2 linked regions of the Cricetulus griseus genome follow. The protein of the gene in region 1 purifies or fractionates together with the protein of each later gene. This does not show direct contact. Links are inferred from orthologs where the notes say so. Each region holds a gene or a part of one and is shown on either strand. Other genes may lie near its edges. The genes, in order: Acvr2b and Inhba.

The links.
Region 2: the proteins of Acvr2b (region 1) and Inhba purify together in Homo sapiens (affinity purification with western blotting; 3 studies listed by BioGRID and IntAct, with this or other methods). This does not show direct contact. The link is inferred for Cricetulus griseus from reciprocal best matches to the Homo sapiens genes ACVR2B and INHBA.

What each region holds. Positions count from the first base shown.
Region 1 is NC_048597.1:226,508,295-226,512,101, reverse strand, and holds part of Acvr2b (activin receptor type-2B), read right to left. Parts: intron 3,388-3,807; coding exon 3,193-3,387; 3' UTR 1-3,192. UniProt on the Homo sapiens protein: Transmembrane serine/threonine kinase activin type-2 receptor forming an activin receptor complex with activin type-1 serine/threonine kinase receptors (ACVR1, ACVR1B or ACVR1c).
Region 2 is NC_048596.1:238,811,813-238,816,314, forward strand, and holds the start of Inhba (inhibin beta A chain), read left to right. Parts: upstream 1-1,424; 5' UTR 1,425-1,627; coding exon 1,628-2,015; intron 2,016-4,502. UniProt on the Homo sapiens protein: Inhibins/activins are involved in regulating a number of diverse functions such as hypothalamic and pituitary hormone secretion, gonadal hormone secretion, germ cell development and maturation, erythroid differentiation, insulin secretion, nerve cell survival, embryonic axial development or bone growth, depending on their subunit composition.

The sequences.
Region 1 (3,807 bases):
AAGCTCAAGCCTTGTCAGCAAGGCTGGCCCAGCCCTCACCCAGCAAGTCTGGTAGCCTAGCGATGAGAGACAGAGCTTCCCTTTGCTGTGGCTTGTGAGCAGAAGGCCCAACACTTTCCCTTGCATCTGGTGCCCTGATACCAGGCCAGCCCATGTTAGCCCAGGTGCTAAAGACTACTCACAGCCTTCCTTGACATTCCATCAATGAGGGTCTTCTTCACCTGCTTTGTCCTTCTCTGACATAGTCACAGAGATCTCTGGCAATAGATGGAGCCTGTCTGGACCACTACATGCAGTGAAGGAAGAATGACGTCTCTAGCTATTTCTCTCCCCTGACTATTCTCAGCACTTTCCACACACAGGGGCTTCCTCAGGCTTCCAAAAAGCTTAGGGGAGATGGGAATCCAGGGAAAGTGACGTGAAATCTGTGGGACAGTGCAAGGCAGAGGCCCCACAACCCAACTGAACACGAGAAGAAAGAAAAACAGGGGCCACCCAAACTTCCAGGCCACACCCTGGAGAATCACCTAGCTTCCAGCCATGAGCAACTGGGTATGTTACCTGAAGCCTCGAAGCAGTCTCCAGCCCAGACCCTCCCTTTTCCAGGACACTCAGACACTCCATTATAATGACACAGAGGATTGACAAGGACACTGCTGTGGCTGGACACAGGGTCAGCAGCAAGGGAAGACAGCCCCCAGAAAAGGTGTCAGGCCTGCAAAGTATCACGACTGGGATGTCCCACACCAGAGGTCAGGATGCTTGTGACAACCAAGCCAGCACACGAGAGAAAAACCACCCAGGGTCACGAGATCACACACAAGGAAGCTGGGTTTAGTGTTTGGCACAGCGTGTGGCTGGGTCTGGGTCACTCGTGCAGCAAAATAGCTGCATTTCTTAGTGGTTTGTTTGTTAAGGGTCAAGAGGAGAGAGGGTCCCACTGCCTGAGGAGAAAGCTAAAGAAAGCAGATATGGCACTTTTCAATAAATATTTAAAGCTTCTCAAAGAAATAAGCGGAAAAGAAAAGCAACTGCTGTAAGACTTGTTTTGCTAGGAAAAAAAAAAAAAAAAAAACAGTATTCTGAGAGGAGAAAATACCACATAGCACAAAATCAAATGGGGGAGGGGAGGAAGGGACACACATAGCTTACGGAAACAGAGTACATGTCCCCCTAACTACCCGGCCAGCCCACAGTGATCCATGGAAACAAAGACCAAGGTCTGAGAGGGAAGCCAGCTGGCCTGTGCACAAACACCCACAGAAAAGAACAAGCCCAGGGCTGCGACCGTCCCCACCCCACCCCCAGGCACCACACAACACGCTGAGGGGAGCGGCTGCCCAGCTGTGAGCTATGCTCTCCCAGACTTCACAGCACAGTTACAGGCACTGCAGAGCCCACCTGCTGCCAAGGGAATTAACCCTCAAGTGCCAGCTGCAGTGGGCCTGAGGGCTTTGGGTCTGCCACGGTAAAGGAGGGGTGTCATCCTGAAAACTACCCAGGGGACTTCTGGAACAACACCTGGGCCTCTCGACAACCCAGGAGGCAGTGGCCTGCCCTCAAGATAAAGATGTGCTGGTTGCATAATATGGTCTAAACCAGAGTGACGAACGCCCAGACTCCGCTCAGATGGCCACCTAGAGCTGATGACAATATTCACAAATAAAAAGGCAGTGCTGACTAGAAGACACAGACTTTTTTTCTTTTTCTCTATTTCTTTTAAACTTCCTTGTCATAAAAGCCAACTTACATTAAAATATACTTCCTACAAGACAACACGACTAACAAAATATATAATTAATAAAACGTACACAAGTAGAAAATTCTGAGGTATTTCTGGTTTGAGGTGGTCTGTGGTCGTGAAGTTACTTCTTTTACTTTTTAAAATTTCAACCTCGGAAGCCACACAGCAAAGTATGTGTGCATATGTGGATGTGTGTGTTCTGTCTGAAAAAAAAATTTTTTAGCATGTTTCATAAATAAAAAAAAAAAATCCAATGTCGAGACAGCAGCATTAGGAACATTCACGGCCTGGAGCAAGGTTATGGCGTAATAGAAAAACAGCTTTAGAATATGCACCACTTTAAAGGGTCTGGAGAAAGCCGTGTTCACGAGCCTCAGAAAGGAGCCAGTGATGCCGCTGCGTAGAGCCAAGCCAGAGCTGCAGGCCGGCAAGGTCCCCACCCAGGGATCCTCTGGGCTACCCACACCGTGCAGGGGGCACCATGGGCATTTCCCCAAACTGCCAAGAGGAAACTGCAGTTTGGTATTTCCTCCATAAAAGAGACCTACAGCATCGTGTCTAATGAAGAATGTCTGCTAAACTGCCACGCCCTCACCTAGTCCCAATATACGCACAAGCGAGGCAGTGTTTCCTCCAACCCACAGCCAAGCCCAAGGTAGTGGGAGGAGCCTGGGCAGGTGGGGCAGCCTGGCCCTGCCCTTGAACTTTCTCCAGACCCTGTGCTTGCTGCTCAGCCCCCATAAGGTCCTTGTACTCCACCCCTTGTTACCTGAGAAAACAGCCTCCATAGCCAAGGGTGTTGCTCCATATGTGCCCAAGTCCAGTGTAGCTCTGCTCCGAACCCACCCAGAACCACCCTCCCTTCCAAACCACCCTCCTCATCTCGCTTTCCCTCTGCTGGGTCAGGATGACACCCATTAGATCCATGAAGACACATCTGCCATTTCTTAAGCTCACTGCCTGAAAAGGGAGACACAAAATAAAGGGGGGGGGGCTCTTCTGAGGAAGGGTGTGTGTCCATGTAACAGTCTTCAAGGGTTCCTCTAGTAGAGATTGCAGCATTGAGTTTCCTAAGACAGGAGATGGGTTTCTTTGTGTTACAGATTCTGAGACAACAAAGAGAACGCTGGGGAAAATCCATCCCGAAGGACAGGAGTGGCTGAGGCTCTTCAGCATGGCGCTGGTTCTGCACTCACAGCTCAGCACCTCAACGCCTGCTGACACGTCCGCTGTTTGCGATACAGTAGAACAATATGCTGGTAAAAACTGATCCAATCCAAAAATAATATTATTAATAATAATTATAATAATAATAAAAGTCAAGGTAAAATAGCAGCTGCATTTTATGTGTTTGTTGGTTTTATGGTATTTCCAAAACAAAACACAACTTTTTTCCTTTTTTTTTTCTTCAGATCCACTGAGTCTGGAGAGACACTCATATCCTAGGCTTAGATGCTGGACTCTTTAGGGGGCAGGTCCACATTGGTGACAGATGTCACCAGAGAGACTAGACAGTCCGAGGTAGTGCCGTTGACCGACCTCCTGATGAGGGACACCCGCTCCTCCACGCAGCCTGCAGAGAGGCGAGCCTCTGCATCGTGGTCCCAGCACTCCTCAATGGTCACACAGAGCTGGGCCAGGCCCTGCAGAGGAGTGGGAGGGAGGGAAGAACCCTTGTTAGGGCTGCACAGTGAGGGCAGCAAGTGATGATGCGTCCAGGGAATGGGCGGAGCCTATGTCCCAACCACACCCATTGCAGGTCAATTAGAAGGCTGCAGGCCCTCAGAACCCTGCTCTCCTGTCAGTCACCCCACTGAGTCTGGACTGCCCTTACAGCTCCAGGGAAATATTTGCTAAACTTCAACAGGAAGAAGGGGAACCCTCTCCCCCTCCCTTTACTACACACACACACACACACACACACACACACAAACAGCTGCTAGCCTTGGAGCACTGGATCTCAAATCAAATTGTACACAAAGCACAAACACAAAGGCCCAACATTTAGTATCTGAGCAACAGTGAGGGTGGGAAGGAGATCAGGGCCTACCTTATTCCCCACA
Region 2 (4,502 bases), on another chromosome or scaffold:
GATGATTTCAGCTCTGCTGTTACTTTGAAGAGAAAGGAAGCAGCCAAGCAGGCTGCCATGAATGCTATGGTTAATACTAGGGGTGGGGGCAGAAAAACAAAACAAAACTAGCACATGCCAGAGAAAAATAATTTGTCAACATATTTTAGATATTCTTTCCTTGTAGACCAGTTATTCACACCATAAGAGCACACTGTTTTTATGAAAGAATGTGAGAAAGGCCAAGTGAATTCTATGCTTTATCTCTGAAGCCAGGACAAGGGACAGTGGGCTATAATATGTGGATATGTGTGTATGCAGGGCACACACACACACACACACACACACACACACACACACACACACACACAGAGAGAGAGAGAGAGAGAGAGAGAGAGAGAGAGAGAGAGAGAGAGAGGTGAGTACCTTCTCTGATTAGGGTGTGTAAAATGCTGCTTGCCCAAGGGAGCTTCCAATGCCCTGCTGTGGTGCCCAGTTGGCAAAAGCAGAGTGTATTATATGACCCCAGACAAAAGTTCTGCTGCGCTCCAGGTCCCATTGGATCGCCTGCTGGCATGAGGACCCTGGACATTTAAATATGAATGAATGGCAGAAAGGAATGGTTCTGGATTCTGTCAGGCAGAACAACCAGCTGTCTCAGGCAGCCCCTCTGTCCCAGGTCCAGTCCCCTGACCTGTGTGATCTACGGAGGGCTTCCCTCAGCCCCACAGCAAGGTCAGGTGCGTGCTTACTCCAGGGCAGTGCCAGGCCATGGGAGAGGACTTTGGGGGCACACTTTGCAATCAAGTTATCTCAGGGAATGGAGACAGTGCATTCAGTTTGTTTGGGTTTTCTCTTCCAAAGAAGGAAGGTGAAACGGACTGAGCAGAGAGAGATGAAAAGAAGAGGGGAAAAAGTAGAAGAAAAAGAAAGAAATCCTTAGACCAAAAGTGAAGAGCCTTAGGAGCATGTATTGCAGAAAGGGCTAAAGAATCATCCCCCATGCCCAGAGAATGGTAGGATTTGAAGAGAGGTGTGTGAGGGAGCAAGGAAAGCAGCCTGTCAGAAAGGGCTGTCCCTCCTCTCCAGTCCCAGCCCTTACACACAGCCGCCCTCCCTCTCTCATTCACTCACTCACTTAGGGCCAATCCGTGCTCTCTCTCTCTCTCTCTCTCTCTCTCTCTCTCTCTCTCTCTCTCTCCTTTCCTCCCCTCCCCCTCCTTTTCTCCCTCCCCTCCCTTGCTCTCCCTCTCTTTCTCCCCCTTTCCCTCTGTCTTCTCTCCCCCTCTCTCCTTTCTCCCTGTCTCTCTCCCTCCCATCCTCTCTCAGTCTCTGTCTCCCCCCCACCCTGTCTCTTCCTTCCTCCCTCCCTCTCTCCCTCCCTCTCTCTCTCCCTCCCTCCCTCCTTCCTTCTCTTTTACTCGGAGACAGTCAGAACTCTCCTCCCTGACAGCCACAAACCTACAGCACTGACTGCATTCAGAGAGGGAACCTGCAAACAAAACTTCACAGAAAACTTTTTGCTCTTGTTCCAGAGAATTTGCTGAAGAGAAGAAGGAAAAAAAAAAGTCCAAAAGAACCTGTGCGTGAGGGGGGGAGGAAAAGCAGGGCCTTTTAAGAAGGCAACCACACGACTTTTGCTGCCAGGATGCCCTTGCTTTGGCTGAGAGGATTTCTGTTGGCAAGTTGCTGGATTATAGTGAGGAGTTCCCCCACCCCAGGATCCGAGGGGCACGGCGCAGCCCCGGACTGCCCGTCCTGTGCGCTGGCCACCCTTCCGAAGGATGGACCTAACTCTCAGCCAGAGATGGTAGAGGCTGTCAAGAAACACATCTTAAACATGCTGCACTTGAAGAAGAGACCCGATGTCACCCAGCCGGTGCCCAAGGCGGCGCTTCTCAACGCGATCAGAAAGCTTCATGTGGGCAAAGTGGGGGAGAACGGGTATGTGGAGATAGAGGACGACATTGGCAGGAGGGCCGAAATGAATGAACTCATGGAGCAGACCTCGGAGATCATCACCTTTGCCGAGTCAGGTGGGTGCTGGCGTTGGGGGTGGGGGCGGGGGCAGGGAAATGTATTTCGTTGACAGTCCTAGCAGGAACTTCTTTCCCTCCCGCTGGAGACTGCCCGGGAAGGTTATTAGTTATTAGGTGATGGTGGCGCCGGAGAGGCAGAGGAGGGGGAGAAGACTTCTTTGCCAGGGAGCCCTGCCCCGCAATGGCTAGCTTACACTTGCTAAATAAACTCAGCGGTTACCCAGAGAGGAAGCTCTTGGGCCGGTCTGGAGCTGTAAGGTAGTCTGCATGGGGCTTCCTGGCTGCTCTGCCTAGGAAGCCAGATCAGAGCAACCAGATGAAAGCAGGGCATTTGGGGGTTTGGGGGTGCAGAGGCAGCATCTGGACCCCATCCAAAGTTTTTCTGGGGTAGGAGTGAGAGTGCCTGGGGGCCGGGTGCAAAGGCACCGATGAAGCCACTGTCTGAAAACAAATCTGTTTTAAATGTCTGATCTGGGGGCCGCATCGGAGTCAGACTTGGGCATATTTATGAGTGACAATCATTTTTACCTCTGGAAAGCCTGCCTCTGTTCACAACCTACCCAAAACAGCAAAGAGCAACTCCCAGGGTATTGGGTTAGTTATGACTTTTGGAACACTGACATACTTGCTTTTGGAATAAAAACAAAATAAGAAAAACAAAAGCAACAACATCAACAAAAAGCCAAAGAACCTCACCCCCCCAACCCAGTTTTATTCTTTGTAAAGTTACTAAGAACTTTTTGCCAAGGAATGCAACCTTCACAGTGTGCTCTCATCAAGATGAGCTACTCAAACCTTAAGAGGAAGAACTTGAACAGATTTTAGTCATTGACTCAGGACCACACTAACCTGTTGCTGAGTAGAAAATACCTGTCTAAAGCTGAAGCCCTAGACTTGGAACTGGCTGCTCATAACACTAGGAGGAAACAGATCTTACTGCAAGTCTATAAGTTTGTTGAAGCTGGCGTACAGATGGGTTAATAATACCTTTTCACTTTCATGGTAAATGCCAGGCTAAGGAATAGGATCTCTTGCCAAAGACAGTTGAAAGGAATGCCATTGTTTTGTTTGGTATAGCAGCATATGGCTAGTAAAGTATGTGCAGGGACTCCCAGCATTTTGTTTAAAAGTTTGCTGCAGCAGTATAAACAATTAAGGCAACACTCAAAATTTCCAATCCTGAAAACCTGTTGACTCAGATGTTCTGTTTTCGAGAAAGCCATGCAAGACCTGGGCATCCTTGTGGGGGAGGGGAGGGTAGGAACCCATAGGCTGCTGGCTTGGTGGCTTCCTCCTTGTAAGAAGCCTTGCTACCCTCGAAGTTTCCTAGAGAGGTGAGCTCTGTCCATGTCCTACTTTCTTACCTACCAGATCCTTTTTGATACAGTTCCTCAAACCTTAGTCACTGTGACTTTATTTTCTGAACCTGACTGAAGAAAAGAATTAAGTTGCCTCTTAATTTTCTTCAGCTTTCATAATTGGAAGGTGAAAGATAATCTTTGTAACATTGGCTGGTGTGTGGGGGAGTGGGATCTGTGCTTCAGAAGATTGGTCCTGGGCCTCACATGTTCTTATATGCAACCTTCACCCATGTCGCCTCTATTGCAGTTTCTACTAACTTGGTTTTAACTGTATCATGTGACTAAGTATACATATGACTTCCGCCATGTTTAACTGCACAGTGGTTGCCAGCACTCTATCCTTCCCTCTGATTTTCTGGGCTTGTATAGAAAATTCATCGCTTGGCAGTTAGAGATTTGGCAAAGAATTGGGCCATTTACACTCTTTCTTACTTATGGCCTTCTCAATGCTAATGGCTCTCAGTTATATAGGATCTTGTCATTTTTGCTTTTCTGTTGTTCAGTTTGAGAGAAAATGAGCTACTATTTACGACGGTGATTCACTGGACTCACACATTGAGTGTAAAATTCCTAAGTGGAAACTCCTAGTCCAGGAACATGATGTGTTTGTTACAGTTGCTTATTTTCTCATGTGAAAAGTAGCACACATCGACTTCAAGTTGATTTAATATAATTTCACAGATTGTAAGTAAGGACATATAGTATAGACAATCTACTCTCCAAGCAGTGTAGAGTATGGCATAAGCAGTTTACTTAGGCAGGGAACATATTTATCATCTGATTAATGAGAGCAAATATATGAAAATGAACTGTAAAGATCTGTATTGTTGCTTTTGGAATAATTCTACTTTTCTACGTAGTACATTTACATATTTCAAGACTAGCAAAGGGCATGTGCTTTTCTTCTTTCTTTATAACCATTTGTACAACAGAGAGTGCAGTTGATGAGTGTCACCTGTAAGCACACCACAGATGTGCCTTTTAACATCAAGATTCCTTGTATGGGATGTATATTTTACTTTGTTCTCTTCACTCAAGATGGTTAGATAAAGTTGACAAAAACATGCAAATAAAGGGACTACAAACACTACAATACCTTGCCCTTTTAACTGAACTTGTCCTA